3 linked regions of the Saccharomyces cerevisiae S288C genome follow. Changing the gene in region 2 together with the main gene of any one other region gives a genetic interaction. Each region holds a gene or a part of one and is shown on either strand. Other genes may lie near its edges.

Region 1 (6,662 bases), on a different chromosome or scaffold from region 2:
AGTTATCGAACACTGTTGGAACATAGTCGGCTGGAAATTGATTCGTTGTATAGGAGATTAGAAGGCACGTTTTCCCAACAGCACCATCACCGACAACAACACACTTTAGCGTTTGCATTTTGTGGAAGAGCTAATACGTTTATTTCTTGTTTTATAAGTTTTGCTTCTCTAATTCGTTTGTTAACCTATCTCCTCAGGAAAATAGAATAGTATAATAAATAACGAATATAATTTTTTGCGACAAAGGAAACCTATTGCAAAAAGTGAAGAATGACAGAGAAGGATAATCAGTATATCTCGGTACACCTGGAACCTATTTATCAAAACGCTGCTCTTGCCTTTTCCAAGAATCGCGTCTATCATCGATCAATCAACCTTGTTTGCTTTTTTTTATCACTTTTTCCCGTATCTTGTTTCATTTGGAAGGGCCCAATGGAAGCAGTATTACCCGTATTGAATGACCCTTGAATCGACGGTGGAAGACATCTTTAATGCGATGTTTAGAAGACAATGTGCCGTATTTACCTGTATATGTGGATTATCTAACAGTCTACAATACAAAATTAGGTGTAACGTAGCTACAACAGTTGATAGAAATAATGCAACTTTTTTTAAAAAAAAAAGAGAAAGTGCTCGAGGTGGGGATTGAACCCACGACGGTCGCGTTGCTTTTAAAGGCCTGTTTGAAAGGTCTTTGGCACAGAAACTTCGGAAACCGAATGTTGCTATAAGCACGAAGCTCTAACCACTGAGCTACACGAGCATTTTCGAAAGAGACGTAAATTAAATTGTTATTTATACCGTAGATGATTGTTTTTCACGAAATTACCCTTTTGAGTTCCGGCTTGTTTCGTTCAACAGTACTACCACTGATAAGTTAGCTTCATTATTGGAAGAAGGTTGATAAATGAAAGAAGATTCACGACTATGCACGGCAACTGGTAAGTAATACACGGGCCCAGATATTTATTTTAATTCTTGGAAAGAAAGTATAAATTTATAGGTTCGCTATCAGTAAGTATACGAATTTCAAACTACGTCATATATAATATCCAAAAGAAGATGAAGGCGATGCGGTCACTCTAGGACTACAACTTATCCATCGCCTCATTTAGTGCATTCACCGCAATGTATACATCTGAAAATGTATTATATAAGGGAGCAGGAGCCAATCTAATTACGTTTGGTCTTCTTGCATCGCCAATGACACCATGGTCATGCAAATATTGGAAAACTTTGGGCATAATATCCTCTTTTCCAGTGTCAGAATCGAAGTAAAGTGACAATTGGGCGCCATGTTCTTCATCTGTGCTTGTTGGAGTTAATATTGTAAAAAAACATGGTAATTTCTCGATCCTTAAAGGGTGTTTGTAATACTTGGAGGCTTCCAACAGTTCCGTCATATAGTTCGTCAGCAACAACGATCTTTTACGAACTTCATTAATACCATTAAACTTCGCAAATAATTCCAATGAACTTCTCAATGCCACTGTGTCAATAACGCTTGGATTAGATTGCCTGAATCCCAATGCTCCTGGAATCGGCTCGAATACTTCCAGCATTTGAAATCGCTTAGCAGGATCATTGCCCCACCAACCAGCTAATCTTGGCAAACTTTCCTTAGCAGGGTCTGGTTTAGTATGCTTCGAGTGGACAAATAAGCCACCAATTCCACCAGGCCCGGCATTCAAGTACTTGTAAGAACACCAACAGGCAAAGTCAACACCCCAATCATGAAGTTGCAATGGGACGTTCCCTACAGCGTGTGCTAAATCCCATCCAACCAATATGTCGGGGAATTGGTGGGCAAATGAGGTGATTCGGCCAATATCGAAATATTGCCCCGTGTAATACTGAACACCTGACAAACAGACCAGCGCCAATTCATCTTGATTTACCTCTATGGTATCCAGGATATCTTGAGTTCTGATATAAGTCTCTCCCTCGCGTGGCTCGATCTGAATAAAAACATTCTCAGGTTCCGAAATTCCATGAATTTTGCACTGGTTGTAGAAAGCATAATAGTCTGATGGAAAGGAGCCCTTTTCAAAAAGGATCTTGAATCTTTTCTCAGTAGGTTTATAAAACGTAATTAACAATGAATTCAAATTTGCAGTGAGACTATTCATTACTGCAACTTCATTTTCTTGAGCACCCACGATGGGGGCTAGTAGTGGAAGAATAGGTAAGTCAATGCTGACCCAAGGCACCTTTCCTCTGGCTTCTTCAGGATGTTTGAAATGCGATTCCACAGCACAATCGCTCCACGCATCTAGCTCAGCATTAATTGAATTCCTAGTTGACTTCGGCATCAAACCTAAAGAATTCCCGCATAAGTACGTCACAGGCTTATCGTCGGACGATAGTCCCATGGATTTAAATGTAGGGATGTTGAATTCATCCCTCAGAGATTCCGGATATTCTCCGTCTAATTCCAAAGCTTTCTCCATAATTACCAGTTTGTTTCTTTTTTCCACAGAATATTTAGGCTTAATATGTACGTATTGACAGCATATATATTTGCTGTCTTGAATTTATTATGCTAATAAATAATTATGTTTTTCAAGCGCAGTCACCTATTTCCAAAGCGATGGGTTTGTCCGTGCCGTAGACGGCATCCCGTCGTTTTAATAACCGTTATAAAAACCGCCCCCATATTTTCGTGGGTTGACGACGACAGGCGTGGACGACGTTAATTGACGTCGTCATAATATATTTCATATTATGATTTTTTCCCTCACCATTACTTGTTCTCTCAAGTAGGAGTATCTGGCACTTGGACGGTGATGTCCTCATCAGCATCAATTGCTTCGTCTGGATATGAGAGAAAATCAGAGGATAGTGGGCCAGTGATAGTTTTTCTCCCTCGTGAAGCAGCATGTTTTACCAACTCAGAAGAAACGCCATCTTTTTCTGGGAGCGGAGACAATTTTTTTGTTCTCCGGACATTTGCAAATTGTTTTTCCAGTTCTGTCACAGCTATTTTCCCGGCTCTTTTGCGCTGTTGTTCATCTCTTTTGGCCTCAACTTTTCTCGAAGAGACTACTCTTTCCTGTTGTGTTTTTACATTTATTTTGGAGGAAATTTCCGATAATGCTATTTGGCGTTTTATTTTAATATTTGGGCTTATTAAATCAAACTTATATTTGCTGGCATTCCATATGACGCCGGTGTCATTTTTCTCTAAAAATTTCATGCCAGAAAATATTATTGATCTAATTCGCAGAACACATTCTTCTTTTGGAGAAAGCACTTTAGTCAATGTAGGGCATCCAATTATATTATTAATCATGTCGGGAGAATCATACACATAATCGTCATTAAAATCTGTTAGTGCAAAGTTAATGCAAGAAAATTCCCTGAAAATAATATCTTCTCTAAAAAGATAGCTTCTTTTCGGCCTGTGGCTATATATATTTCCTGAACAATTCAGTGGACTATTTATCAAGTCGTTCAGCAACAAGGCGAATGAAGTGCAAAACTTCCTGTGTCTGTGAGTGTACTGCAAAATAGATCTATATGACTTAATCCAGCACATAAGCAAACGAATAATGGCTAGATATCGAAAGTCTTCCATGTTTTTTTGCCAGGAGGGTTTGATGACGACGTCTATGATATTAGCAATAAAATCAAAGCTCAAGTCTAAAAAAAAAACCTGGCGCTCACTCAAATCTGCATATTTGAGTTTGTTCTTTTGTTCCTTACTTTTTCGAGTTGTAAACATAAGATCGAAACTTCCCATTGTGGCAGCCAAGTTTTCAAGTATAACATTAATATTACCTGAATGATACTTTAATGCAGCCATTTGTAAATGCTCTTTCAATAACCAACAATTAGAAGCACGTGATGCGTTCCATGACTGTGGAACCAAAGTGTGTTCTACTATCGATAGAAATTGCAAAACAATTTGACCTTCAAAGAATGATTTCTCACCTTTGAGATCTTTTGACACAAGAATTGCCAATTTTTTCATCAGACGTCTTCTTTCCGGAAAATCAGGAGTCAAAATGAAATCTTTCAAATTGTTTAACGCACATTTAGACGGAATCCTTACCAATGCTCCTCTTACTAATTCAAAGAAATACAGTGAGAATTTCCCAGTGATCAAGTAAATTTTCGCTCGTTGAAAATAAGTATCTCCAACGGCTGGGAGATAGAGTGAGGCAATATTCAAGTACCTAATAGACTTCTCAAAACCTTCCACACTCTTGGGTTTGTTAGACGGCTTGTTTAGTAGTGTTTTATAAAAATGTGTGGAACCTAGATTAATCACGCATCTTTGTAGTGAGATTACAATGGAAAACGTCAGTGGATTACTCGTGTTTAAGATAATTTTCTCATGAGTTGAAAGTCCATCTGTGTATTGCATTAAATTCAACTTCGCGAAGAGAGCATTTGAAATAACGGAATTCATATCGTACTTTGCGCATAGGTGTTCGATGATGTCATAGTAATACCTGTGTGTAATTTTGAAAAATTGAATCATTTTTTTTTGAAAAATTCTAAAAACTCTGAACTTTCTTCTGTTACTTAGTCGCATGATATCATGGAACCAGTGCTCAAACCATTGGAGTGTAGGTTCGTGAATTTGAAGCCATAAAAGTTTCAGAACCAATGGTATCACGGAATCATTTATGCGTTCGTAATTGTTATTATGGTACATATTTTCTTGTTTCAAAAGTAGCTCTTCGAGAAACCTAGTAGATTTGCGATGTATTCCATCCAGGAAGCATCTGAACGTGATATATGCATTTTCATCGCATGTCAACCTTGATGTTAGATGTTTATCCAGATGCGCACGAGCGTTCTTGAAAAATAATCTCATACATTCTTCGTTAACTTCTTCATTATCCATTATCTATGGTGGCATGTGTCATTTAATGGAATATACTTTTTCCCCTGATAAGTTTGCTAAAAACGGTCGGATCATACAGGCATGTTAACATTTCCATTATCCTTTTTGACATTGGATAATGGCGTGAACGCGAAAATCACATTGATAAAAAAAAGCAGTTTGGCGAATTAGTAACTGTCAATAAAGAGGGCATCGCTTTTGAAAGCACCTTCGTCTGTGCGCTCGCTTCAGCTACGTAAAGGTGTATTATAGACAATAATGAAAGTGCTATGTGTCGCAGAGAAAAATTCTATAGCGAAGGCAGTTTCACAGATCCTAGGAGGAGGCAGATCAACTTCAAGGGATTCCGGCTACATGTATGTAAAGAACTATGATTTCATGTTTAGTGGGTTCCCGTTTGCCAGAAATGGGGCTAACTGCGAAGTTACCATGACTAGTGTTGCAGGGCACCTAACAGGCATTGATTTCAGCCATGATTCGCATGGGTGGGGAAAATGCGCCATCCAAGAGTTATTTGATGCGCCACTGAACGAGATTATGAATAACAACCAAAAAAAGATAGCAAGCAACATCAAGCGAGAAGCGAGGAATGCAGACTATCTGATGATATGGACAGATTGCGACCGGGAAGGAGAGTACATCGGTTGGGAGATATGGCAGGAGGCCAAGAGAGGCAACAGGCTCATACAAAATGATCAAGTATACCGGGCAGTCTTTTCGCATCTCGAAAGACAACACATATTAAATGCAGCACGAAACCCAAGTCGATTGGATATGAAGAGTGTGCACGCTGTAGGCACGCGGATTGAAATCGATCTTCGAGCAGGTGTTACATTCACCAGACTCTTAACAGAAACGCTACGAAATAAACTGAGAAACCAAGCCACCATGACCAAGGATGGTGCAAAACACCGCGGTGGTAACAAGAACGACTCACAAGTCGTATCGTATGGTACATGCCAGTTTCCAACGCTCGGCTTTGTAGTAGACAGGTTTGAAAGAATACGAAATTTTGTTCCCGAAGAGTTCTGGTATATCCAATTGGTAGTCGAAAACAAAGACAACGGCGGAACAACAACGTTCCAGTGGGACAGGGGCCACTTGTTCGACCGGCTGAGCGTGTTAACGTTTTACGAGACATGCATCGAAACCGCCGGCAATGTTGCTCAAGTAGTAGACTTGAAATCAAAGCCAACAACGAAATACAGACCTTTACCTCTGACCACAGTGGAGCTACAAAAAAACTGCGCCCGGTACCTGCGTCTGAACGCCAAACAATCACTAGACGCAGCAGAAAAGCTATACCAAAAGGGGTTCATATCGTATCCAAGAACAGAGACTGATACTTTCCCACACGCAATGGACCTAAAATCCTTGGTCGAAAAGCAAGCTCAATTGGACCAACTCGCTGCAGGCGGCAGAACCGCCTGGGCATCGTACGCGGCATCGCTGCTCCAACCCGAAAACACAAGTAACAATAACAAGTTCAAGTTTCCACGAAGCGGCTCCCATGACGACAAAGCGCATCCACCAATCCACCCCATCGTAAGTCTGGGGCCTGAAGCAAATGTTTCGCCAGTGGAAAGAAGAGTATACGAGTACGTGGCCAGGCACTTTTTGGCATGCTGCTCAGAGGACGCCAAGGGCCAATCGATGACCCTTGTGTTGGACTGGGCCGTTGAACGTTTCTCAGCTTCAGGTCTCGTAGTCCTAGAGAGAAATTTCCTCGATGTTTACCCTTGGGCCCGATGGGAAACCACCAAGCAGTTACCGCGGCTTGAAATGAATGCCCTCGTAGACATCGCGA
Region 2 (8,668 bases):
ATTTGTCACACGTCAAGAACTTTGTCATAGATGAATGTGATAAGGTTTTAGAAGAATTAGACATGAGAAGAGATGTGCAAGAAATTTTCAGAGCTACTCCAAGAGACAAACAAGTCATGATGTTTTCAGCCACACTTTCTCAAGAAATTAGACCAATTTGTAGACGCTTCTTACAGAATCCATTGGAAATTTTCGTCGATGATGAAGCTAAGCTAACCTTGCACGGGTTGCAACAATATTATATCAAATTAGAAGAACGTGAAAAGAACCGTAAATTGGCTCAATTATTAGATGATTTGGAGTTCAATCAAGTCATTATTTTCGTTAAATCTACCACAAGAGCTAATGAGTTGACCAAACTATTAAACGCCTCTAACTTTCCGGCTATCACCGTTCATGGTCATATGAAACAAGAAGAACGTATTGCTCGTTACAAGGCTTTCAAAGATTTTGAAAAACGTATTTGCGTGTCCACAGATGTTTTTGGTAGAGGTATCGATATTGAACGTATTAATTTAGCCATCAATTACGATTTGACTAATGAAGCTGACCAATATTTACATCGTGTCGGTAGAGCTGGTAGATTTGGTACTAAGGGTTTGGCTATTTCATTCGTTTCTTCAAAGGAAGATGAGGAAGTCTTGGCTAAGATCCAAGAGCGTTTCGATGTCAAAATCGCTGAATTCCCAGAAGAAGGCATTGATCCGTCCACTTATTTGAATAATTAATAAAGGAAAAAAGATACGTTTTTATATAGATTATATAAAGATTTTGTATTATTCAAACGAACAAAACAAACAAAAAAGGGGAAGTGGAAAAAAATTAGCAGTTATAGCGAAAGATTGAGTTTTTGTTGGAAAATGAACGTAGTGTAGTCATTTCGTGAACGCACAAGACAATTCTATTGGGCATCACATGGCAAAGCATGATAAGGAAATGAAGTTTTGGGAATGATTCTAAATTAACGTTTTACCCGTTATAGGAAGATATACAGTATATGTAAGTAAAAAGTTTTTTAATACAATAGATGTGCAAAGAAAAGTGAAGAGATTTCTGGAAAAAATCTTGAAATTTTCTTAACGGTAAGATTTTTGGAATCTAGAACGAGCACCCTTACCACCGAATTTCTTTGGTTCTGGTCTTCTAGAATCAGCGATCAACAAAGTTCTGTCGTAAGAGGTGAAGGCCTTCTTCAATTCGTTCTTGGATTGTTCGTCAACGTACTTTTGGTGGTAAGCGACTAAACCCTTAGCAATAGCTTGTCTGATGGCGTAGACTTGAGAAACATGACCACCACCAGTGACTCTAACTCTGATATCGATGTTGGAGAACTTGTCCAAACCAACCAACAATAATGGTTCGTAGACCTTGAATCTTAGGATTTCTGGTTCAACCAAAGTGATTGGAGAACCGTTGACCTTAATCAAACCCTTACCGGCCTTGACGTGGGCAACAGCGGTAGCTGATTTCTTCTTACCAAAAGTCTGTTATAAAACCAAAAATGAAAAACATTTCGTGTCACATGTTAGTAAAACAGAAATTCAAAATCCTCAAAAATATTATGAACTGTGTAAAAGGGTGAAACAAGTGAGGTACCCTGGCACTTCCTCTTTGGAGCATTCTGTTCAAAATTCATTGCAAGGGGAGCGAATGAATAAATAAGACCGCAAAAGACGCTCATTACTTTACTCCACAGAGAAATTAAGTATAATATTTTCCCACACAATTTATTGGTTATTTCTACTCGGTCTTTAACGTGTGAAATGGTGATCCGTTGTTCTAAAACTATGATTCGCATCTAGTGCTTGCCCCACCCGTCTTATTCAGGTGATATGGTTCTTAAATTGAAATTATCTCACTGCATGGTTTCAATATCCCTCACAAATTCGTGACATCGTTTAAATTATTTAACATACTTGGACACTTGGGACGGCAGACATCTTGTTGCTTATTCTCTTGCTGTATTTTTCGAAACACTGCTAAATAAAAAGGTATATATTAAATAGTCTACTGCGTAACCTATACATTTTACATGGCATTTACTTTTGACTTTGCCAGTGTTACTCTCTGCGCTAGGATAATATTCGGTGGTATAGGCTCACGCGGCCTGGCCGGAACGAACTGCTACCAGTTCTGTTTCCCTCAGCTAGAGGGAAACAGAGAGAATTTCCGCCCAGGTCAAAGGCCACAGCATCCTTCTAGAGGAGGAGCGACAACCTAAGGAAAATTCAGTTTTTCCTAGATCGCATACATTTTTCAACCACTTTTTTTCACAATGCATTATTTTTCAACATGTATGGGTGTTTTTTCTGAATATCAGACTCTTTTATGGAGTAAAACAAGCTATTAATATGTGACCCATACATTTCCTGTTACATCCTTACATATATGCAGGCAATTTTTTGTAGTTAGAAAATTTAATTTTTTTCTAGTCGGAATAATCACAGTAGAGGTGTGGAAATCTTGGAAAATTTGAAATGATCGGATATTAGCTACTAATCCATTTAAGCTTGCAGCATTCTGTTCGAAGGGGTTTGAGAAAAGCATAGTACAGCACAGCAGGAATCGTACACAATGGGTATGTCTACTATAAAATAATTCAAATCACTTTTGTCATTTCATAGACCAAAGAAGCTCGCTTGTTACCTTAGAGGATTATACTAGTGCACAAAGGCATGCATAATACAACACACGTTATTGATGAACCTAGAGAGGCTAAAGTTATTTTCTAATAAATCATGAGATTTTTCTCCTTTTTACAATAACTGAGCAGTCATAGTAATGGCCAAGCAAATTCGAGACAGGACCTTTGTACCACTATTTGCTGAACTCATTGTTAGAGTCTTCTTAGATAATATGATAAATTTGGTGTCTAATTGAAACGTCCACTTTTCTGTATACTAACAATTTTTAAAATGGGATCTACCAATTGAATTATATCAGCCATTTCCAAGAATTTACCAATCTTAAAGAATCATTTCAGAAAGCACTGGCAAGAACGTGTTAAAGTGCACTTCGACCAAGCTGGTAAGAAGGTTTCTAGACGTAATGCTAGAGCTACCAGAGCCGCTAAGATTGCTCCAAGACCTCTAGATCTCTTGAGACCTGTTGTTAGAGCCCCAACTGTTAAGTATAACAGAAAGGTCAGAGCTGGCAGAGGTTTCACCTTGGCTGAAGTTAAGGCCGCTGGTTTGACTGCTGCTTATGCCAGAACTATCGGTATCGCCGTTGACCACAGACGTCAAAACAGAAACCAAGAAATCTTTGATGCTAACGTTCAAAGATTAAAGGAATACCAATCTAAGATTATTGTTTTCCCAAGAAATGGTAAGGCCCCAGAAGCTGAACAAGTTTTGTCTGCTGCTGCTACTTTCCCAATTGCTCAACCAGCTACCGATGTTGAAGCTAGAGCTGTCCAAGACAATGGTGAATCTGCTTTCAGAACCTTGAGATTAGCCAGATCTGAGAAGAAATTCAGAGGTATCAGAGAAAAGAGAGCTAGAGAAAAGGCTGAAGCTGAAGCTGAAAAGAAGAAATAGATCTAAAAACTTCATCAAAGAATTTTTCATCCACAATTTTTGTATTTTCCTTCTTTTTTATCTGTTCAATTTCATAAATAATATATATGTACAATGTATAAACGGGAAGCCATCACTTATAATTTATCATTTCCTTAACTTTATAGTCTGGGTGAGAATATGGTTGACAGTATTTTTACAAGTTAGCGCAGTTTTCTTGATATGATGGAACATTATTGTATTAGTAGTAGTCAGGTTTGCAGGCTTTTCCTTCGAGCACAACGTGGCATTATATATAGCATAGAAGAGATGCGAAAGATGGTATTGAACAAAAAGAAAGTACTGTCTTATTGTATTAAAAGCGACTATATAGAAAAATTATAAAAAATTTTAAATGTTAGAATATGCAATTTCTTCTAAACAGTGCGGCACTTCTAATCAAATAAACCGAAACCCATGTCGTCATCGGATTCTTCTTTAGCTTCTTCTTCTTCCTTTTCAGCTTCGGCTTCACCGGCTTCACCACCAGCGACACCACCAGCGACACCAGCTGGGGCAGCAGCACCAGCGCTGAAGTTGACCAATAAGTCCTTCAAGTTTTGGCCGTCCAAAGCCTTAGCAAAAATATCAGCCCAGATATTTTCAACTGGGACATTGGCAGCGTTAGTCAAAGTCAACAACTTTTCAGAAGAGATTTCGATTTCAGAGTCAGCCAAAATCAAGGCGGCGTAAGACAAAGCGGATTCAGTAGACATTTCTTCTTGTTATTTTAGAGATAATCGGTTTAAGCTGTTGTATTGGACAAAGCGGACTATTTCTTTATTCTTTTGATTTCTTTTACTAAAAATTATTCAGAACAGAAGAGATCGCAAACTTTATAAAGATATTTTTTTCAAATACCATGTAAAGGCATTCTTTAAAAAATGAAAAAAAAAAAATCATTACAAAGTTGCGTGGTATCATCTTACGATATTCGTACCTCACGATATGTAGCAGACATAGATGAGGCTACAGGGTTAAGGCTTCTTTTAAATGAAGTATTAGACAAGATACTAGAGTTTAATAAGATCACGTATGGTAATGTTATTTCTTGCTGTGACAATTTTAGAAACAGAAGGCATGTGAGTTTTCATATTACATTAATTAAATGAAATTTTTATAAGCTAGGCTACTGTTCAGCGAATAAATATTTTCAAGCCAGTTTTATGAGGCAGGAAACGTCGCATTCGAGCGGTAATCATGAGGGTCCCTGGTAGTAGGGCGGAGAGATCAGATCAGTATCCAACTTGATTTTTTTTTAGAAGTGGTTGGAATTCTGGAGTTGGCGTATTTACTGCGCTAGAATTTTCGTTCTCCTCTTGCACTTGTTTGCTCTGTTCTTTTTCTACCACCCACCTGTCAAGCAGAGCCTGTGGAACATCCCTTGGTGGTAGCATAATCTCTATCATCCGAATTTTGTCATTGGTCGCAAAGTTTGGGTCACTGATCATGGATCTGAATTCTCCAACAGTAATAATTTTTTTCGTTTCGTAGTTCGTGCAACCAAATACTCGCAATAATCCCAAGTAGTTCCAAGGTTGGATATCGTAATAACTAGCATCTGACCTGTGATGCAAAAACCTGTCCACAGAGTAACCTTGGTTATTCATCACAAAAATATAAGGTGTCAATCCCCACTTAACAATTGTGGATAATTCTTGAACTGTCAATTGGAAAGCACCGTCACCCATAAACAGAATAACTCTATGTTTAGTTGCGGGGAATTTATCCTTGTTTATCTCTTGAACAGCAAATTCTGCCCCAAGACACGCCCCCATTGTATATCCGACAGATCCCCAAAGAGCTTGCGAAATACCTAGTGTATTTACCGGAAATCTGGTCTGGTTAACTCCAAATGCAGAAGCACCAGTTTCTGTTATGATTATGTCACCTGGTTGGAACCAATGGGATATTTCATTCCAGACCCATTCTTGTCTCAAGAGGACATTTCCTGCTGGGTAAGGTCTTGGAACCATCATACTGGGTTGTTCGCTTGGTTGGTAAGACAGTTTAGATTCATCAAGATTTGCTAATATTTTCTGTAGTAGTAATTTAATGCTCAAGTCAGGATATGTGGCATTTTTCAATTTCACAGATGTAGAATATAGTAGCGCACAATTCTTAGTTTTATATTGGAAGTGGAAAGTTGACGTGCTGAATTCGGAGAGCATGCAACCAATGACGATGATAAAATCGGCAAAATCAACTACTTCTCTTACTTCTGGGGCTGATATCGAGCCCGTGAATACGCCCCCAAATTGCGGGTCTGTTTCGTTTACTGTACCCTTACCCATAGGTGTAACAAAAACTGGAAATTTAAGCCTATTACAAAGCTCTTTAGTCTCCTCGATTAAATTCTGTCGACTAGTACATGCATCTACGATGATTGCCGGATTCTGGCTTTTGTATATAAAACTCAATATTCGAGAAATAACTTCTTTCTCTACGTCTGGGTCGTTTTTATGCAATTGTAAATCCAGAGGTGTATTAAGCCTTGCTGATTCAATCGGGAGATTTACCTGGTTGACAGGCATGCCCATGTATACTGGCCTCTGTTCTATCCAAGCCTTTTTGATGCACTTATCGACTTCGTCGGCACATAATTCAGAGTCAATAATCAATGTTGTATAGCATGCTACATCACTGGCTATTCTATGAAATACCGTGAAATCACCATTGCCCAGAGTATGATGCAGTAGTAGTTGTTTCGTTTGTGCACTTGTTGGCGGCATACCCACTATGTGAAGTATTCCTACATGTTCAGCGTAAGATCCGGCCACGCCATTGATTGCCGATAATTCGCCTACACCAAAGGTTGTTATGAGACATCCCAAGCCTTTTAGTCGTGAGTATCCATCTGCTGCGTAGGCAGCATTTAACTCATTAGAATTACCGGCCCATCGTAAGTTCGGAATGTTGTATAGTTTATCCAGCAACGGCATGCTAAATTCTCCGGAGAGTCCAAATATGGTATGTATGTTCAGCTGGTTGAGCCGATGGAAAAGATAATCTGATATTGCTATACACTTCGGCAGTGCATATCTCTGTGTATAGCTAGAATTCATCTTCAGAATGACGACGGTGCGTTTTAGTAGTTATGTTCTTTCAAACCTTTTTTTTTTCGTTTTATTATATTTTACTCTTTTCTACACAATATCGATAATGAATTACGAATTTGGTGCTTACCAAAAGGTTCAAAGATTACTATGCCGTAAAGTATGAAGAAAGGGAAATTTGTTCAATGCATCGCAAGTTTCATCAATTTTTCTTCTATGTGAGTGCTTTTAGCAACTGTTTGCAATAAAGAAACATAGGAGTTCTTACAGTTGCCAAGGTTCTGCATATGCAGTCATACGCTTGTGGCCGGTGAAAATTTGGGCGACCGCTGCCTAGAAAAGCAGCAAGTGAAATTAAATGAAGGAAAGAGGACGGTCGTTATACGTTAGGTTAACTGCATACGCTGTGTATCTGTGTGCAGAAGACAAATGCATATTATGTAATAGTAATGATACAATAGACTAAGAAATTTGAAGGATGAGATATATCACAAAGACGATGAAGGTGCAGAAACAAAATGTTTCAACCGTTCTTCAATGGCGGGCCGTTCCACAAGTGGAACATGGCCCAACTCAGTTTCCACGTCGAAGTCAAATATACGCAGGTTTTGTGCTTTTACGTAAGTGTCGGTATCACAACGTTTGGTTTCGTCAAAATAGCTTGATAATAGACATTGTAGAGGTACCAATCTTTCGCAAGGGTGATACTTCAGAGTTTTTGTTAACAAGTCAAGAGTATCGGGATCTTCGGCTTTGAATATTTCAGCCAAAGTAATGGGCTTGATATTGGGGAAAACATGGTCTTCATAATTTGGGTTCATTCCTGAAATTTCATCCTTTGTGGGTATGCCCATTATCTTAATAATTTCCACCAACTGATCTATACCGCTTTCACCAGAGAACAAGGGCTTGCCCAAAAGCAACTCAGCAATGACACAAGCGCTTGACCACACGTCGACCTGGTTTGAGTAATTAGTGGCACCAAACATGAGTTCGGGAGCCCTATAGTACCTTGAACAGATGTAAGACACATTAGGCTGATCCGGTTTCAAGCATTTGGCACTGCCAAAATCGCAAATCTTGAAAGAAAAAGTTGTCGGATCCACCAGTAGGTTTTGCGGTTTTATATCTCTGTGACAGATTCGAGGAACGTTATGCAAATAGTTTAAAGCTTTGAATAGTTGGTATGCATAGAATTTAATTTCAACACGCGGCATCTGCATTTTCAAATTAACAAAATGACGAAGCCTTTGGTATAACGACTGAGGCATGTAGTCCAAAACCAGATTGAGGTATACTTCATCTTCTTCGTCCTTTTCGTAAAAGTAGTACTGTAGACCCACAGTATTTGGATGGCACAACATCTTCATAGTTTCGAGCTCCCTATTTTTATATCTTCTATCTTGTAGTACTTTCTTTATGGCAACTTTTTGATTGGTCTCAATTATTACAGTCGTGACTACAACACCAAATGAACCATGGCCAACCACTTCTGTCGTAGGATAACTGATGTCGATAGTTCCTCCATGATTTTTTCGGTCGACATCAGTTTTGCGGTCATGTTTATAAACCCGTTTATGAACTAAACCTATGTTAGTATATAATGTGATTCCCATAAAAAATGGTAGTTGATGTAATATGGAAAAATGTTCCGCTATGCTTCCTGATATTTCGTAAGCAAGTTTCTAAGATTAGGGATGCAATTTCATAAATCTTTATTTTACACTCTCTTTTTTTTTCTTTTAATTATTTTTTTTTGTGTCGCGATACTATGAACTGACAGTAGTTCCACTATTCACTCCGGTTGTGACGAAAGAAACATTCCTCCACTGGCAAGAACATAAAAAAAAAAAATAAAAAATAATTATACATACTAGTCCTTTCCTTGGTTTTAATATACCTATAATCAAAATTAATCATTTTCTCAACCTTCTCTTTACTAAGCTTGCTACTAATATTTTCGTGCTTATTGGCAACTTTTCCATCTGTTTTACTGTCCGAGATATTGGCGTGTTCAATGTGATCAACTGCAATACCCTCCTTTCCCCCGTCTAT
Region 3 (6,290 bases), on a different chromosome or scaffold from region 2:
CGCCAGATCAGATAGCGGCTTATGAAAGTTTCATTCCAGAAACGCAAAAGGACAACCCACGACCAAAGTTTGTTCAAGTGGAAAGGGGTGGACAAGTAACATTTCATGGTCCAGGCCAAATTGTTATTTACATTATTTTAGATTTGAAAACATTTCAAAGTTTCCCTGCTAAATGCTTGGTTTCATGCATTGAGCAGGCCACTATCAGAACGTTGAAGAATACCAAGATGTGCGACGACACTGACAAGCCTTTGAACTTAGATGCTATGACTACAAAGGACACTGGAGTTTGGGTTGAAAATGGCAAGAAGAAAGTTGCTAGTGTTGGAATACACGTCAGACGTTCCATAACATCGCACGGGGTAGCAATTAATGTTAATACAGATCTATCGTATATGAATAGTTTTGAAATGTGCGGTTTGAAAAATACACTGACTACTTCAATTATGGAACAACGACCCGATGCTGTTGTAAATGTGCAAAGTGTAGCAATTAGTTTTGTCAAAGAAATGACAAAGCTGCTAGGAATAAAAACTTTGGAAAGAATGCAAATTGACGACGTCAATATTTTGAAAAAGAATCCGTGAGACGGATGACTCCCCCCATACTTTCTTAAATGAAAGGATGCTTACCTTTTTTTACATGTGAATATCTATTACATATATACGTACGTATATAATAATCTCTGACGTGAAAAGCGGATCGTGTGTGTCTTGTATTTACGATGCTAGTTGGGGGAAAGGATCTTGAAGACAATAGCTATAATCCCGATGGAAATAGTTCCAAATGTTAATAGTGTGAAATGATTACATAGCGTGTTCTTGATGCTAAATTTGTCAGTACCCTTAGGATTCATGCCCGGGACGCCTCTAGTGTCATGTTCGGTAGTCTTTTTTTTAGATGCAGTTGAGAGTTCTTGTTCTTTCTGTTTGTTCTTCTTCATCATTTGTGAATTCTTATATCGTTCCACTTCTAACCTAGTTTTCAAGTCTTCTATTTCCCTTTCCATGCTTTTTTGCTTTTCATTATTTCTTCTTTTCTTCACTTCAAATGACTTTTTGAAAAACATATGGTCCCTTTCCAACTGTTTTACTTGATTTCTGTTTTGTTCGATAATCTTTTCGTATTTCCCCGACAGTTTCCTTCTTAATCCATTTTGCAGCTTTACCAGTTGCTGATCATTTTTTTCCACTAAAAGTTTGTTCGTGTATTCTAGATGTGTCGTATAATTAATTAAGAAATTCTCCATCGACTGTAATTTAAAATTATCGCATTTGGAAAATGGAATTTCCATTGCCAGGGTTTTGATGATATTAGATAAAGTCGGGCTCGTACCAATACAATTATTAATAAAAATTCCACTCAGTATTTCTGTATCAGAGCCCAGGATAACTTCTTCCAATTCTAGGTTGTTGGAATCACCATATATGTGACTTGTTATGGCAGCAGCCTCCTCTTTTTCTGTAATTGTATGGCAATCATCACTATCTTCATTTTCAAAAATCGGTGATTCTAATAAAGGTTGTACAAATAGTTCTTCAACTGTGGCACTTATTTTTCGATGCTCAATTTTCGTATCTATATCTGTTCCCAAGTCTATCACATCGCCAACTTTGATTTCTACGTCATTTGAGCCAATTCTTTGACCGTTAATGAACGTACCATTACTGGATTTTAAGTCTCGTATATATACCTTACCCGTGAGCGGGTCGCAACTTAACAATGCATGATTCCTGGAGAGTACTCTTGAATCGAAATTACCATTATCGGACCTTACTTGGGAAAAAGTGTGTGAATCCACTCTTTTACCGCCCCTGAGCGATGAACTGGAGCTGCTATTACTATTAGCAACAGGCCTTCCCAATTTCAAACCATCTGGTTTAAATGGTATCACCACATGTTTGCTCTCAAAAGTTCCATTTAGTGATGTGAGGACTAGAATGTAAGTATATTTTCTCCTTGGTGTTCTTGATATGCTATGTGGAAAATAGCTTTTTGTTGGGTCGGCTATTCTCTTGTCATACTTTTCAATTGGCCTCTTCGATGAATTCGTAGATCCATCAATTAGATTTGCATTCTTGGGTATACTATTATATGTTATCTGTTTCTTGCCCGGAGAACTGGGGTGCTCCTCCTTATTTATTTCAGGTCCAGGACCAGTCATTGGATTCGATTATATCTATAGCTTCCAATATAACCAACGACAGGCTCCTTGTGAGGGTTACTTTGTCACTCTTGCCTTAATTTTGTGTTCACGTAGTGCTTGTGACTTTCAAGAACAAATTTTTAATTATGTTCCGTTATGGTAAACAAGTGAAATTTCAAAAGTTGAGCACCACGATTACGGAATAACAACAAATAACGAAGGTTGAAGAAATTAGATAATAGATGAGAAAAAAAGAACACCAGAGAGAGAACAGGTGCTTTCTAAAAGATTTCAATTCAGGGCGAATAATAGTAGTCCTTACCCCTTAATATATTGGAATATAATAGGACTAGTTAGACGCTGGCAATAAGATTGGTTTATTGTTCTTTTTTTTACGACTGTAACAAAGCTACGTTATTTTTTGTTTTTCTTTTTTTTTAATTTATTTGGTATTATATATCTAGTGTATATGTTATTATTAGGAAAGAGCTGTTATTTAATATTAAGTGTGAACGAAGGAAAATTTCGTAGGTAAAAAAATTAGTGCAGAGAGCCATTAAATGAAAGGGAAATTTTATTCTTAATTATTTTTTGCAATTTTATTTCCCACTAAGCAGCTTTTTCACTGGCGGTGGAGGATTGCTTTTCATTATTCTTATGATGAACTATTTCAAACTCATTGGTGTTTTCAGAGCTAGTTTTGACCAACTCAGGTATTTCATCGTCGGAGCCTTCAGGTCTGTACTCGTGGCCGGTAGTGTAACCTTCGCCTAATGTGTAAGCGCGGATTTCTTCTTCAGAAATTTCACTGTATGGAACCATGCCCTTCTTTCTTGCTTCTTCGTCAGTAAAGGCACCATAATAATCTTTGTCATCATGTTTGACAGTAATTTTGAATGGGAAGAGGAGGCATAGTCCCCAATAGACGAAAAAGGAGATCAAAAACGAGAAGAAGGAGTCACCGTAAAAGAAATTGACAATACCAGTGTTGTGGAAATAGTCATTATTGACTTCCCAAGCAATACCAGGTAGACCGGGGGTCATACCACAAACCCAGGCAACAATAGCTCTCCAGTTAACACCCTTAGTGAAATAGTATTCACCCTTGAGAATAAAGGCATTAGTGATGGAGTATTGTCTTTTTCTGATCAAGAAGTTATCGCAAATCATGACAGAAATGATAGGAGTCATGACAACACCGAAAGAACTCATGACAGTCAAGAAAGTAGAAGAAGAGTTGTAGAAGTTCCATGGCAAACAAGCCCAGGAGACACATGCGGCAAAAAGGGCACCCCTCTTGATGTCGACATACTTGGGTAATAAACCGGCCAAATCCATACCACTGGCAAACCCACAGTTGGAGATGGTGTAGGACATTTGAGATAGGACAAATGAAAGACCACAGAAGAACGCACCGGCACGAGCACCTGCAGAATAGTTAGTTGTCAACCAATGGTTGAAGATATCCATAGGCATCCAATATTGTTCACCGTATAGTTTGTCACAGGTGGAGGCACCAATAACACCAAAAACTGGGATTAAAGTGGTTGGAATTAACAATGCACAGATGGTACCGGCCCAGATAGCCCAATTGGAGGAACCAAATCTCGAGTAATCACTTTGGTTGGTGGAACCTGGAGAAACGGAACCGAACCAGTACGAGATCATATAAACCCAAGCCCAAGCTTTGGTGGAGCCAGTGGCAGTGGATTTAGTGGAGGTAAACAATTCTCCAACACCGTGAGCCTGTTTAGCTAAATAGATCACCATACCCAACATAGAGAAAAATGTAGCAACACACGACCAAATTAAAATGTAGTTCATGTGGTAGGGTTTCATTAAGTAACAGAATGCAGTAAGGACGTGGAAGATGATAAAACCAATTAATTCTTTAGTGGTCATGGCAACTTTCGAAGATAAGGTGTTTGGCAGGTGCAAATAATGGTGAGACCATGAATCCAAGATCATATTGATACAAAGACCTCCCACCCAAGCGTTGGACCCGTAGTTGACAATACTCATCAAAATTCTGATGATGATACCGAAGGCAGAACCGTAAATACCAAAGACGAATCTTTGGGCCAAAGTGAAACCGACCTTCCAGTCGTAACCAGGACACGAGTTTGCCAATGTGAAAATAATGGTCAACACATCACCGACGATAAATGTACCAATGGTTTCTGGGTAACTTAATCCAACACCTAGTGCAGAAGAGGCACTCATCCATGTACCCACTGAAAAGGACATAACACCCCAATATGCAAAATTAGACCAGAACCCCCATGTTTGGTTAGCCGACTTAATAGGTTGCAAATCCGGGTTCTTCAAGAAACTCACAGATGCCCTGTCTTTGACAGGAATTTCCAAAAATCTCAAAGCCCTGGAGACTTTACTACCGAAACTCATATTGATATAATGCAATTGGCTCTACAGTCCTTTAAATGATGTTGCGATGAATCTCAGAACAATAGATGCTAATATGAGTTCTGGAATAGGAAATGAAATGGTAAAGCTTCCCGATGACTTCGAGAATTGTATCTCACATATATACCTAATAAAAAAAAAGAAATTACATTACAATAGAGGATGTAAAAATTTCGCTTTTTTTTTTTTTCTATTCTCTTCCTCTTTTCTCTTCAACTACCCGAAAAAGGTATGCATACTATTTGCCTTAGAAGCCCGATCGATGAATCCTCTCCTCTTCCATATAAATCAATAAGGCAACCTCTAGAAAACGCCCATTCCTGCCAAGCGCTTTGCAGCCTTATGGCCGTACTCTGTGCATCCGCTGCTCATCGGCTCTCTGAAACCTTCCCTATGCGTTTGGTAGTCGCGCGTGAATATGCTAATTGGGGCGCCTTCCAACATGCGTTTACGCGGCGCGCTGGAGCTTCTGTGGCGGCGACTTCTGCATGGTTTGATGCAGTTGCGGCTGGTACTGAAAATGCACATATGCAGTCAGCTGAATCATGCAATTAAGCGGAGAGCTTTTTTGAAGACAAAGGGCGGCAAAAACGCCTTACATGGATGCCTTGACACGGTCATAAACTTGCAAGAGAGTATTCTTGCAGGCATTCGTCTTGTGCCAGTACTTCCTATACTTCTCGACTATGTCCTTTACAACATCAGTCTTGGAGGCATGACCTTCGCAGATTTTCTTGAGGTCTTGCTCCATTTCTCTGCGCTGGAAGGGCTTTGCAAAGGAGTCTTCGAGGCCGATGGCCTCGAAGCCGTGCACTAGTGAGACACCCAGGGTCGTGGGTTGTAAGTAGGTTTCCTTGCCTACTTTCTCGCTCCTAACGTAATTACGTACTTGGATCTTGTCTATGTGCTCCGCAATGGTGGCGTCTGTGCCAATGCCGTTTGTATCCATGAGGAGAATGAGTTCACTCTCAGTCATCGGCTTGGGCGGCGCCGTAGTGCCCGCCTTCATTTCGGCCTTCGCGATGTCTACGAGGGCATTCATTTCAAGCCGCGGTAACTGCTTGGTGGTTTCCCATCGGGCCCAAGGGTAAACATCGAGGAAATTTCTCTCTAGGACTACGAGACCTGAAGCTGAGAAACGTTCAACGGCCCAGTCCAACACAAGGGTCATCGATTGGCCCTTGGCGTCCTCTGAGCAGCATGCCAAAAAGTGCCTGGCCACGTACTCGTATACTCTTCTTTCCACTGGCGAAACATTTGCTTCAGGCCCCAGACTTACGATGGGGTGGATTGGTGGATGCGCTTTGTCGTCATGGGAGCCGCTTCGTGGAAACTTGAACTTGTTATTGTTACTTGTGTTTTCGGGTTGGAGCAGCGATGCCGCGTACGATGCCCAGGCGGTTCTGCCGCCTGCAGCGAGTTGGTCCAATTGAGCTTGCTTTTCGACCAAGGATTTTAGGTCCATTGCGTGTGGGAAAGTATCAGTCTCTGTTCTTGGATACGATATGAACCCCTTTTGGTATAGCTTTTCTGCTGCGTCTAGTGATTGTTTGGCGTTCAGACGCAGGTACCGGGCGCAGTTTTTTTGTAGCTCCACTGTGGTCAGAGGTAAAGGTCTGTATTTCGTTGTTGGCTTTGATTTCAAGTCTACTACTTGAGCAACATTGCCGGCGGTTTCGATGCATGTCTCGTAAAACGTTAACACGCTCAGCCGGTCGAA

The links. Genes that interact genetically often act in the same process or in processes that back each other up.
Region 1: mutations in THI3 (region 2) and EST1 together harm fitness more than expected from each alone (negative genetic interaction), as found in Saccharomyces cerevisiae (3 studies listed by BioGRID).
Region 3: mutations in THI3 (region 2) and THI7 together harm fitness more than expected from each alone (negative genetic interaction), as found in Saccharomyces cerevisiae (3 studies listed by BioGRID, with this or other methods).

Annotation. Positions count from the first base shown.
Region 1 is NC_001144.5:604,670-611,331, forward strand, and holds EST1 (Est1p), read right to left. Parts: upstream 4,856-6,662; coding exon 2,756-4,855; downstream 1-2,755. Other genes in the region: Rho family GTPase CDC42, read right to left, coding at 1-118; BNA5 (kynureninase), read right to left, coding at 1,089-2,450; TOP3 (DNA topoisomerase 3), read left to right, coding at 5,114-6,662. UniProt on the Saccharomyces cerevisiae protein: Directly involved in telomere replication. Associates with telomerase and during its interaction with CDC13, telomerase activity is promoted.
Region 2 is NC_001136.10:305,850-314,517, forward strand, and holds THI3 (branched-chain-2-oxoacid decarboxylase THI3), read right to left. Parts: upstream 6,623-8,668; coding exon 4,793-6,622; downstream 1-4,792. Other genes in the region: ATP-dependent RNA helicase SUB2, read left to right, coding at 1-728; 40S ribosomal protein uS9 RPS16B, read right to left, coding at 1,077-1,484, 1,917-1,940; 60S ribosomal protein eL13 RPL13A, read left to right, coding at 2,575-2,578, 2,944-3,539; ribosomal protein P1 RPP1A, read right to left, coding at 3,953-4,273; putative serine/threonine protein kinase MRK1, read right to left, coding at 7,102-8,195, 8,488-8,668. UniProt on the Saccharomyces cerevisiae protein: One of five 2-oxo acid decarboxylases (PDC1, PDC5, PDC6, ARO10, and THI3) involved in amino acid catabolism.
Region 3 is NC_001144.5:610,629-616,918, reverse strand, and holds THI7 (thiamine transporter THI7), read right to left. Parts: upstream 4,553-6,290; coding exon 2,756-4,552; downstream 1-2,755. Other genes in the region: lipoyl(octanoyl) transferase LIP2, read left to right, coding at 1-587; FAR10 (Far10p), read right to left, coding at 728-2,164; YLR236C (uncharacterized protein), read left to right, coding at 4,802-5,125; TOP3 (DNA topoisomerase 3), read right to left, coding at 5,166-6,290. UniProt on the Saccharomyces cerevisiae protein: Responsible for intake of thiamine.